Linked DNA regions of Cricetulus griseus. The protein of the gene in region 1 interacts with the protein of each later gene in a pairwise test. Links are inferred from orthologs where the notes say so. Each region holds a gene or a part of one and is shown in the gene's direction. Other genes may lie near its edges. The genes, in order: Gimap5, Eda and Lsmem2.

Region 1 (3,492 bases):
TGTTCTTGGAAATGACCCCCATGACACTTGCACCCTAGTTTATCTTCATAATAGCATGCCATGATTTTCTGACCATGTTTTTAAGGTACTGTGGTAAAGGATATGGGAAAGAATGGTATAATTACTGTTGCCCGATGAGACTAAGATAATCTACTCAAGGCCAATGTTTATGACATTTCCACAGTGTTTCCAAGCGTGGCCTGCACCTGATCTCTTCTCTAGTCTCTTCCAGTCCTGCACAATGCCATGGAGTGCATCCTCGGAGGGGCATGGGGAAGCTCTTCCACTTTTGCTAGCTCTGAGGTCCAACCAGGGGCAGGAAATACCTGCTGCACACCCACCGATCCTTCCACCAACTACTTAAAAATGAGTGGCAGAGCTGATGGCTGTGAGGTGGGTGGGGCTGGTGGATGGCTGGCTCCCAGTGGGCTGGCTGAGGGCACAGTGCTGTCCCAAGAGGGTGGTGGCTTAAAATAAGATACCCCAAAGGGGACAGAAAAGGTGACAGTCATTTTACTGAAGGAGTGTGGGTTCCCACTAGAGGAAGCACGGGAGAGGGAAATGTGTAAGCATTTGAGACAGTCTCAAACCTAAAGAAAGCTCCGGCCCTTGCTTTTGTTCCTCTTTTTGATCAGGCTGGATCTGGAGACAGCAGCGGTTTGAAGCACTCACTTTGGGTGCATGACCTGCCTGCCACCTGTTGCTTGGCCAAAGGCATCCTATGAGTAGTCCTGCCTGAGAGAGTAGTCAGCACCTAGGGGCAAAAAACAGCATGCAGGGAGGAAAGGAAGGGCCCTGGAAGAGAGATGCCCTCAAGGTGTCTGCAATCCAGGACTGAGATGGAAACAGAGACACTGTGACCTCAGGAGCACAGCACACTAGTCAGTCACCTCAGGACTTTGCTTTTCTTTCCCTCTGCTTCCTGGGCACATCCCACCACTCCCCAACCTGGCCCGACAACAGAATCCTACTCCTGGGTGAACAGCCAGTCCTGGTTTGCCCAGCCCTTTCCCAGTTTGGACAGAGAAAGCCCTGTTGTCTGGACTCAGCTAAGCTCCAGGCAGAGCAGGAGGACCACTGCCATGGAACAAGGGAAGAATTACATTTGTCTCTTGGAGATGCTGGGCGTAGAGAGCAGCCTCTAGTGCTAGGTTCCCAAAGAACCCAGACAGCCATGTTCTCAGTAGAAATAACTGACCAGCTGAAGTGACTGTTATTGTGGGTACACAGCCCACTTTCGTTCTGCCTGTGGGCTGAAGAAAAGTCCTGGTGACAATGTCCATGTGATCACATGACATGCACCCTTTTCTTGGGTCTTTCTGCTTTGAGTCATTTAGAACTACCTGTAAGTATGTGTGTGACTCCATCAGTTCTTTCTCTTTGGCTTGATTTCCCTTCCTACAAGATGATGTGTTTGGTGCTGCATATTATATTCAAATCTTCGCATATTTTCCCTTCCAGAAACAAGAAATGGAAACTCTTCAGATAGTTGTGAAAGGTACCTTCCCCGAAGGTAAGAAGGCTGCTGTGGGTGGAACTGTTTTCAACTGTCAAGGACCACTGCTCAGTGCCTAGAAAGGGACAAACCTCCCTCCAGGCACCTACAGCAAGGCAAGTGTGCCACCAGATAATTGAACGTATTAGGCCATTAACTGTCAGAGTCTCCAGAGCAAGGGCAAGTTCCCCAAGGTAATAACCTGCAGTTGTGTAAAACAGAGACCAGGGAGGGTGGGAGGAGATGAAGATAAGGGGACAGATGAACAGAATGGCCAGGCGGAGATTACCCTGAGCATTCTACATTGGCTTACCACTTCATGCCTAGACAGAAAGAAGGTCCTGATGAATGGTAAAATTGGATTGGTGAATCCCCAGGGGAAAGACGCCTTGGACTCTGACCATCAGAAGCACTTTATCCCACAAGTCCGGAGTGTGGTGGTATGGGGTGGTTAAAGCAGAGGGAGGGAGTACTGATTGGTTTGCACTAGTTCCTGTCAGTTTTGTCTTCTTCTTCACCAATCATTTTTTCACACCCGAGCCTCCCTTTACTCCCAAAGGCAGAAAGAAAGATGGCTGCACCCCAGGATCACCTCCACTCAGGATCCTCCTGGTGGGCAAATCTGGCTGTGGGAAAAGCGCCACAGGGAACAGCATCCTCTGCCGACAAGCATTCGAGTCCAGGCTCAGAGCCCAGTCAGTGACCAGGACCAGCAAGGCAGAGATGGGCACATGGAAGGGAAGGAGCTTCCTAGTGGTAGACACACCACCCATCTTTGAGTCAGAGGCCCAGAACCAAGACAAGGACATTGCAGACTGCTATCTGCTGTGTGCCCCGGGACCCCATGTACTGTTGCTGGTGACCCAGCTGGGACGCTTCACCGCCCAGGACACCATAGCCGTCAGGAGGGTGAAGGAGATCTTCGGGGCAGGAGTCATGAGGCACATGATCCTCCTTTTCACCCACAAGGAAGACCTGGCCAATGAGACCTTGGATGAGTTTGTGACCCACACTGACAACCACAGCCTGCGCAGCCTGGTCCAGGAGTGTGGGAAGAGGTACTGTGCCTTTAATAACAGGGCTTCTGGGGAAGAGCAGCAGGGGCAGCTGGCAGAGCTCATGGCCCAGGTGAGGGCGCTGGAGCAGGAGTGTGAGGGCTCTTTTCACAGCAATGACCTCTTCCTTCATGCCCAGGAGCTCCTTAGTGGTAACAACAGTGAGCGCCAAGAAGCCTACAGGTGCTACCTGGCCAAGGTGAGGCAGGAGGTGGCGAGGCAGAAGCGGGAGCTGGAGGAGCAGGAGGGCAGCTGGGTCCTCAAGGTGCTTCTCAGAGGCACAGAGTGGATGGCTGTGCACGCTGGGACTTGTGCTAGTTTTGTATTGTCAGTACTAATATTCCTTGTTATTTTTCTGCTCATATGTTTTAATGTGTGATGCTCTGTACTTCAGAGATGTTTCTAAAGCACCATGCCGGGATGCTTTGCTATGAGCATAACCTTCAGAAAACCACTCTGCTGGTCTGTGAGACGTTGCTACTCTGAGCCTCTTCTTTTTCCCCCGTTAGAATTCCTATTTGCATTAGGCAAAGCTCACAGAGTCCTGTGGAGCAGGAGCAGGAAGGATCAGAGGAACCAGAGGGGTCAGGGACACCAACAGAGAGAACACAACCCACATAACTAACTGACCAGGATTCATGAGGGCTCACAGAGATCAGGGAGCCAGTAGCTGTCTGACCTGCAGGTTCCCTGCATATATGTTACGGCCAAGTAGTTTGATGTTCTTGGGGGATTCCTGACAGCGGGAGTGGGGACTGTCTCTGACTCTTCTGCCTGCTTATGGGACCCTTTCCTCCTACTGGGTTGGCTTGTCTAGCCTTGATATGATAGTGTGTGCCTGGTCTTATTGTAGCTTGTTATGTGATTTTGGTTGGTGTCCCTGCTCTTTTCTGAGGGGAGATGGGGGGTGGATCTAGAGTGGAGGGGAGGTGGTGGGGTAGG
Region 2 (4,300 bases), on another chromosome or scaffold:
TTTGACTCTTGACAACTAATCTTTTCCATCCTTCATTTCCAGGTCTATTGTTCTGACATTTGCCATTTTTTTCTCTGACCCTGTTTCTGATTGGTGCAGCTGTTGAAGATGCTGCAGTTGCAGCATGTACATCTGGAACATTTGGCTGACTTGTTGAACTTCCCCCAGGGAGTACTCCAGGGGAAGCATGGGAAGGGTGGAGAGGCCAGAACAGTTGTCTGCAAGTAGAGATGACAATAGTGTCTGGCCATTCTGTGGACCACCCTTGTAAAAATTCACCTCTTTGTGACCCTCAGTTTACCCACCTGCTCTTGGAAGGCTCGTGATCTTTCAAAACTTCTGCAGCCCTGGAAGAAGATAAACTTTTGGCTGTGGGCTCACTCACACAACACTTTCAGCCTTGTGAAAAGGATTAATGCATATCTGTTGAATGAATTAATATGTCAAGAAATCCTAGGAAACTGTATTACCCTTCAAGGGATAGTATCACTTCAGTTCCACTAGGCACTTGGCACTAGGCTTTGACTGTGCCCCCAGACTCACTCTAGGAGTGAGACATCCTGATTCCCAGTCTGTTTGGCTCCCAGGCTCCTAGGTCTCCTTTTCTTCTGGGAGCCATTGAATTGCAAACACAGCAGGCATGGTTTCATTCCAAACCCTGAACTGTTTTAATTAGTTTAACGTCTGTTAAACGCTTTGAAGATTGAAAGCAACAGATAAGTACTGGATGATGTTATTAACAACTGCAGTTAATTGCAAACATTTCTATTAATGCTAGTTTCTGCCTCCTTTTCTTTACTCCACGTTCTTTCCAAGGTTCCCAAATTCTTCTCAGCCTCCCCCTCCTGCCCTCCCCCATAGCGGCGCTGCCGAAGGGTTAAACCGGGGTGGAGTCCAGAGATGAACGACAGCGGCAGTCACCAACTGCAACGGGGCAAGCGGGAAGAGCTGGGTGGGGCTGCCAGGCAGAGGTGAACCCCCACGCCCCCAGGCCCCGCCCCACGGCTGGAGGCCCGAGTGGAACAGCAGGAGGCGGGGCGCCCAGACCTGGCGGGCCCGTGGTTGGGCGTCCCGGCCGCCCCTTGAGGCATGGGGCGGGGTAGGTGAGGACCTCCTCCCTCATTCCCTCTTGGGCCGCGCCGCCCCTCTCTCCCGCCCCTCCTCCTCCCTTTCCCACCCCTCGGAGTGGAGCTGCACATGCGGCTGCTCCCTGTTCTGTCCCGCCCAGCCACCGTCGCTCAGGAACGGGTCCCTGCAGCCCCCAGCCGATGGCAGGACAGTAGCCGCCTGTCAGGGGTCGCGAAGGGCTGAGGCAGAGGCAGAGGCTCCCGGGCCTCAGATAGTGGCTGTCTCTGGAGGCCATGGGCTACCCCGAGGCAGAGCGCAGGGAACCCCTGCCCGCAGCAGCGCCAAGGGAGCGGGGCAGCCAGGGCTGCGGCTGTCGCGGGGCCCCCGCTCGGGCTGGCGAAGGGAACAGCTGCCGGCTCTTCCTGGGTTTCTTTGGCCTCTCGCTGGCCCTCCACCTGCTGACGCTGTGCTGCTACCTAGAGTTGCGGTCCGAATTGCGGCGGGAACGGGGAACCGAGTCCCGCCTCAGCGGCCCGGGTGCTCCTGGCACCTCTGGCACCCTAAGTAGCCCTGGTAGCCTCGACCCCGTGGGTCCCATCACCCGCCACCTCGGGCAGCCGCCCTTTCAACAGCAGCCTTTGGAACCAGGAGAAGATCCACTCCCCCCTGACTCCCAGGACCGGCACCAGGTGAGTCACCTAGGAGGGGCGGCGGCCTTGGAGGCCCCCTCCCCTGCTAGGTTGGGTGGGGGCCTGCGCCTCAGGGCTTGGGGGACTCTGCCACTCCGAGCCAAGTTACAGGGCAGGACCTGGGAGTGGGCCGGAGAGCTAGGGAGAGGTTGTCCGGGGCAGGTTGTTCTCAGTTCTTGGCTTGGCTCATCCAGACCCTCTCGGGTCCCAAGGACTTGGAAAGCCCAGCCTGCTTGCGCCGCCCCCGGGGGGTGTGGGCTGCTTCGGGGAAAAGTTGGCCGGGCTCGCACCCGGGCCGGCGGAGAGGTGCCTGCGCCGCCCCCGTGGCCGTCTAACGGCGAGCAGCTTGGCCCCTGGTGCCCCTGGTGAGGTTCCCTGCCCGCGGTGCTTGTTTCTTCGTGTCCCGAGCTGATGCCAGCACTAGCAGGCTCCTCTTTGGAGTTGGAGCTGTAAACAGCTGTAATAACTGTTCCACGCCCGCTGAAACAACTTTTAACCGTACTTTTCAGCGCCGGGTTCTTGTGCGCTGACCAGAATGTGAGCTTTTTCACACTTACCTGCAATTTGAGACCGATTGTCCTCAGCGTTCTCGTGAGGATCAGCGCCCCTGAGGAATTCTGGTAGAAATATGCCGTCTTGCTAGACAACTTCTGAACAGCAATTTAAAAAATCTATGGAAACAAAACTCACCCTTTGCATGCCGGTTCTGACACTCTTCTTGATGGAGTGGGGTGCAGTGGGTGTGAAGGGTTTTCATTATCGCTAGCTTCAGAACAGGAAGTTGGATTTTTGTTTTGTTTTTGGTATTCTTTAGAGTGTTTGTATCCCTTTTAGCAAACCATTAGCTTGGTTGTTTTCCTAATTCTTTCTTCAAGTAAATTCAATGTACTTGGTATTAAATACTCTCGTGGTTGCCAAAGCTGTCTTACATGTGAATCTTAGGCAAAGCAACCAAGGATCTTTTTGAGTGGTTAAAGACTAATGGTTAGTTTGTACCCTTTTGAGAAAACAAGTTGTATAAGTAACTTACTTGAAGTGACACATGGAAGCCTTCTGTATTTGGTCCATAGTCATTGTCACAACTCTTTAAACATTATTTGTGCTACTTTGACCTTCAAACTTGTACACTTTAGAGCTGTCACATTCATAACAATCTCTGTCAGGACTGACATTTTTCTCTTTTATAATGTGTTTTGTAAAAATGCCCCAGCCCTAAAATGCCTTTCAAACATACTCCAACTTATATAACAGCTTATCATAGAAAAGAATCTGCAGACATGCTCCTCATACCTGAAACTTTAAACACTATGGCTGGGTGATAATTAATTAGGACTCTGGATCTTTTATTTATCTTCCCCCTCCTCATCCCCATAGAAATACTTAGCAGCTGCACATTAATATTCTGTAAAAAGTATCAGAGAGTTCAACTTCTCTAGTCAACTGGTGGTCAAGGCTTTTGGGCATTCAGGGTGGACAGAGTCATGTTCATGGACTGAGGATTAGGCGGACAGCTGTATTCTAGAGCTTCTGGGATAGCTTGGGACTCTCATGGCTTTGTCATGGCATTTAGTTGCCTACACTTGTGTAGCACTAAAATACTTAGGTGTTTCAACACAGTTTCTCATCTCCTTTCCTTTAGAATCTTTCTAGATTAGTCCTTTGGGACAGTCAAAGCAATGATAGTAGCTCTTTACAATTATTGGCATCAACTTGGAATTGAAGTTTTTCAGATTTGTAAGGTACCACCTAAGTCTATTTTGTTGATTCCTTTGGAGAACTTATAGCCCCCGAGGGAGAAGTAAATGGCCCAAGATATCATAGCTTGAGTCAAAACTAGGATGAAGTTGGGTCTTCATCTTCAATTTAGTACATATTACCCCATAAAATAGTATCTACCAAAAAAAATTTTTTGAGGGGAATGAGGCAACCACAGGTTGGAACTCCATAGTAGACTTTTTACAAAATGAAGGGCTCAAATCTGTGTCGTTTTGTTCTGCTCTAACTACATTTTGACCAGGCTAAGTTTAACCATATACTCCTTATTTGTCTTGAACTTAACTTTCAGGAAAACTGGAATATAACTGAGGAAGTGTTAACTCAGATTCAACTTGTTTCTCTTGAGGATATTAGTTTTAGCATATGAATAAGCAAATATATGAATAAATAAATAAAGGAAAAGTTGATTGGCTAATTGAGTTAAATTGATGTGCTATATCTGGGTAAAATTTCTAGTGCCCTGGTGCACCCTCTGCTGGTTTTGCAGTGACATTTAATTGTACTAACTGCTGACAATCAAACTTCTAAGTTGTGCTGACAGATTCTGATTCATAAATAAGGAAGTAAACAGCCTCCTGGGACTTGGTCACGTAGGTCATATTTTATATTTTAGTTTTTTAACATAAACAGCTGCCGTTACAGCAAGTTTTGTACAGAGAGGATCAGAGACAAAAACATGCACCCCCCCATGGGCAATATATTTGGGTTTCATATGAATGTATTTAGAAAGAGTGAAGGCAAGCTGATGATACTAAACTGTGGTGAGC
Region 3 (4,330 bases), on another chromosome or scaffold:
CGGAAGGTCTTAGGTGTGGAGAGTGGCAGCGCCTTTCTGGAGTGTGAGCCTCGCTCGCTACAGGCACATGTGGAGTGGACCTTCCATCGTGCAGGGGAGGTGGCTCACACCCAGGTGTGCCTCCCTCCACCCTTCCTAACTAGGCCTGACTGCCTAAGGAGGCCTTTGGCTTGTACCCCATAGAAGTCCAGTTCAGTGAGGCTACAGAGTCAGGCTCCATATAGGTCCCATCCTGTTCCGTCCTTAGCTGAACGCCACAGTCCATCAGTGATGTCCCACTGTGTCCAGCTAGAGTCCTGGCCTACCCTCCACCATCTGGAAGGAGAGGGCCCTCAACCCACCCATGTGTTGAGGTTTCTAGTCTATTTCCTCCCCCATCTGAGTGACCCTCGATCTCCGTTCCAAGGCTGCCCATCCCTCTGCACCTAGCCTTTTAGTGAGTACTGCCACCACCTATTTTCCTTGTCTAGCTTTGGCTCCCAGTGACCCTTTGTTTCTGTTTCTGTGCTTGTCCTCACACACAGGTGCTGGCTGATGAGCGAGCTGAGCGGACCTCGCGGGGGCTGCTGCTGCGTGGTCTGAGGCGCCAGGACTCTGGCGTGTATCTGTGTGTCGCAGTTGAGCAAGGCTTTTCACAGCCCCTGCGTCGCCTGGTGCTGCACGTGCTGAGTGCCGTACAGGCCGAACGACTGGCGCGGGCTGAGGAGGCAGCTGCCCCTGCACCACCAGGCCCCAAGCTCTGGTACCGGGACTTTCTACAACTGGTGGAGCCAGGCGGCAGTGGAGGGGCAAACTCCCTGCGAATGTGCCACCCCCAGCCCAGACCCTCCTCTGTGGCAACAGAATCGCGTCGTAAGGGTCGCAACAGGCGGATGCAGGCCTCTGAGCTGCGTGCTGAGCGTGGGCCACGTAGTGCAGCACACTGGTGACTGGGCTGTCATCACACGGGGGACCAGGCTGGATATGACACTCAGAAAAGGGGACAGACAGACATCAGGAAGACATGAGTTGTGGCTGAGGCACACTGAGGTCCTTGGACCAATAGAGACACCTAACTTATACATCGGCCCTGGCCAAAGGGTAGCCGAGCCAGCTTATTTATTAACAAGATAACCCGCGAATGTAGTCTCAGAGGAGTGGTCCAGGCTCAATTCAGGATCTAGCCTGGAGGGAGGGGACAGAGAAGTGGGGCTCCGGTGTAGACCAGGGCCAGAGAGCTGTCTTGGGTGCCTGTCCTGGGGCAAGCATTCTCTTGGGCAGTGAGCAGGAAGCTGTAGCAGATTAGACTGTGGGTTGGAGTGAGGCAGGGCAACTGTACTAAAGTAATGCAATAAACACATTATCAGCTGACGTTGGAATGGCCCCAGCAGATAACAGCTGGTCCTTGACCTTGCTGGGAGTCTCCGGCATTGTCCTAGCAGTCCTTTTTTTTTTTTTTTTTTTTAGATTTTATTTATTTATTATGTATACAACATTCTGCTTCCATGTATATCTGCACACCAGAAGAAGGCACCAGATCTCATAACGGATGGTTGTGAGCCACCATGTGGTTGCTGGGAATTGAACTCAGGAAGAGCAGTCGGGGCTCTTAACCTCTGAGCCATCTCTCCAGCCCCTGTCCTAGCAGTCTTAAATCCTGAATTTTTCTCATTCAAGATTGCCATTCTGCTTGTCGGTGGGTGGCACTCACCTTAAACCCCAGCACAAAGGAGGCAGAGGCGGGTGGATCTCTGTGAGTTCGAGGTTAGCCTGGACAGGCTCCAAAGCTACAGAGAAACCCTGTCTTGGGGGAAAAAAAAGATTGCTGTAGTGAAGATTGGAAGTGGTATTAGATGACCCAGCTGGCTCCAGTGAGCCTCTGGGGGGCTGACATGCACAGCGCATCCTGCAGCTAGTAATGGCAGGGCAAAGCTCTCTGAAGTAAAAACAAACAAACAGTACTGCATGTTGTGGGCAAGAATGTGTGCAGAACTCACTTGAAGGGTTGATACAAGCCGAAAGATAAGAGGGAACCAGTTGGAACCAGTCACAGATGTCTGGAGGCAGAGCATTCCAGAATGGAAGAACCAGTCAGTGCAAAGCCTTGGAGCAGGGAACAAGCCCGCCAAGTCTGAGGAAGACAAGGAGGCGAATATGGGTGCCACATGATGGACTCAGGATGTTTTGGAAGGTAGACCCTTCCCACAGTCTTGCTGTGCACCGTCCAGAAGAAGCAGAACAGAGTTCACAAACTGACTAAGGCCTGGAGACTGGACCAGCTCTTCAAGAGTGTGCAATGTCGCTGAGCGTCCATCCTCACATGCCTTCACGTGGCCTGTTAAGCCCTTGTGGAGAGGAGGGGGAGGGAGGACCAAGACTACTCTGTGCTAAGTACATTAGTCATGTCTCTGCATTTTTATTCTCAGTACAATTGGCTCCTTGCTCCTGTTTTACAGATGGGAAAACAGAGGCCACTCTCAAGGTCCTCTTTACATAAGGCTACAGCTTAATACTAGAAATACCAGCTTTTAATCCCAGTCTGTCCACCAGCCAGCATGAGTGTCCACTTGGGGGCTGCCAGATCCTTATGGTGTTGTGCTCCAGTTGTCCACCACCCCCAATATCTGCTGCTAGGTGGTCACACGCTCATCTCACATTTGCTGGAAGGAAATGGCTGGGCTGTGGGTGCAGGGTCTATGGGGGTGAGGGATGGCTGAGGGGAGATGAGCAGGGTTTCTTTCCTGTCATACATGCCATATGCTGCCTGCTGACCGGGATGGGGACCCCAAGGCCTATGTGTGTATAGAGTTGCTATGGCTTTCAGAGAAGTTCCCTGGGCCCATGTGCTAGCTCTTAGTTGTGCCCTATCACCGAGTAGGTAGTCTAGGTCAGTCCATCTGGGTCACTCTGCCCCTTTTCACGGCTTGGAGATGCCCCCTCTAAATATAGCCCAGGGAAGTGAGCTCAGACCTATTTTAAGACCAGGTTGGGAGGCAGCCAGACCTTTCCCAGGATCCTAAAGGAGCCACTGCTATGTTTGTCCAGTTCTGCTACTGGTCACTCTCATCTGGCCCCTGACTATACGTATCAACTGCCATGCCTGAGGAGACCCAAGAAGGTAGGAGAGGGTAGCCATGGGGGAGGACAAAGCTTTATGGCCCTATGGCTCATGGAGAGACCTCACAGCCTTGAGTAGTCTTTTCATATCCCTGTTCTAGACACCAATCCCTATGCACAGACAAAGAATGGACCTGCCATACTTAGAACTCCCTTTTGCAGGTCCTGCCTCAGTTTTCCTTGCTATGGGCCAGGGAGAGGGACCACAGCTTTCTACCTAAGAATGGGACAACTCTACCCAAGTGGGTGTGGGCATCTGGGGAGCTGCCAAGCAATTTAGCTCTTCCTTCAGCAAAGAGGCTGGGGTTGGGGTGCGACGCGGTTCCAGGAAGCATTTCAACGTCTGGCCCAGGGACTGGGAAGTAGACATGCCTCTGGCATGATCTAACCAGAGAAAGGGCCTGCCCTCTACTAAGGGGTGTGTGTGTGTGTATCTTTTATGGGTGGGGGGCGGCAATGACTTAACTGTAACATCTACCATGTGTTTTTGTCTATAGCAAATAAAATATGCCCAAATATAAGGTATGGGAGAATTAGTGAAGTGCAGAGGGTATTTAATGTGACCTCAGTCCGTCAGCCAGGCTTGAGGACTGACAGCATCTGCTTTTGTTTGAATTGCTTGTGAGCCTGTCAAGGGGCAGCTTCAAGCACATTAGAGGGCCCAGTGCAGTCCTTGCCCCGCACTCTGGCACACCGCTACCTATCCCTCTGCAGGCATCGGGAGCGCTTGTGGAATCAGAACTAAAGCAACCAAATCCAATAGAAGGCCTTGGAGGTGCACACTTGGGAGGCAGAGGCAGGAGAATCTCTGTGAGATCAAGGCCAGCGTGGTCTGCATAATGAGTTCTAGGCTAGCCACGTAGTGAGACTGTTTCAAAAATACATATCCAGTCAAATAATGCCAGAGGAAAGCAGAGTTATAGTTATTTAGAAGTCAGAGAGACATTGATAGCAATTGGAAGGCTGAGGCAGAAAGGTAACTTGAGTTAACCAGGAACTCAAGACCAGTCTGGGAACTTTCTGAACCTATCACAAAAAAAAAAATAAAATAAAATAAAATTAAAAAATGGGGGGGTGAGGTGAGAGATGGCTCAGTGATTAAAAGCACTTGCTGCATAACCATGAAGATCGGAGTTTGTGGTGGTGAGGCCTTTAATCCCAGCACTCTGAAGACAGAGGCAGGTGGGTCTCTGTGAGTTCGAGGCCAGCCTGGTCTACAGAGTGAGACAGAGAC

The links.
Region 2: the proteins of Gimap5 (region 1) and Eda interact in binary tests that used the Homo sapiens proteins (3 or more experiments, as listed by UniProt). The two-hybrid records come from large-scale screens. The link is inferred for Cricetulus griseus from reciprocal best matches to the Homo sapiens genes GIMAP5 and EDA.
Region 3: the proteins of Gimap5 (region 1) and Lsmem2 interact in binary tests that used the Homo sapiens proteins (3 or more experiments, as listed by UniProt). The two-hybrid records come from large-scale screens. The link is inferred for Cricetulus griseus from reciprocal best matches to the Homo sapiens genes GIMAP5 and LSMEM2.

The regions. Positions count from the first base shown.
Region 1 is NC_048601.1:98,479,165-98,482,656, forward strand, and holds Gimap5 (GTPase IMAP family member 5), read left to right. Parts: upstream 1-1,470; coding exon 1,471-1,498; intron 1,499-2,054; coding exon 2,055-2,929; downstream 2,930-3,492. UniProt on the Homo sapiens protein: Plays a role in T lymphocyte development and the optimal generation of CD4/CD8 double-positive thymocytes. Inhibitor of GSK3A, possibly by sequestering GSK3A in cytoplasmic vesicles and impairing its translocation to the nucleus.
Region 2 is NC_048604.1:70,348,940-70,353,239, reverse strand, and holds the start of Eda (ectodysplasin-A), read left to right. Parts: upstream 1-1,361; coding exon 1,362-1,757; intron 1,758-4,300. UniProt on the Homo sapiens protein: Cytokine which is involved in epithelial-mesenchymal signaling during morphogenesis of ectodermal organs. Functions as a ligand activating the DEATH-domain containing receptors EDAR and EDA2R. May also play a role in cell adhesion.
Region 3 is NC_048597.1:215,778,372-215,782,701, reverse strand, and holds the start of Lsmem2 (leucine-rich single-pass membrane protein 2), read left to right. Parts: upstream 1-1,507; 5' UTR 1,508-4,330. Other genes in the region: Sema3b (semaphorin-3B), read left to right, coding at 1-114, 525-929.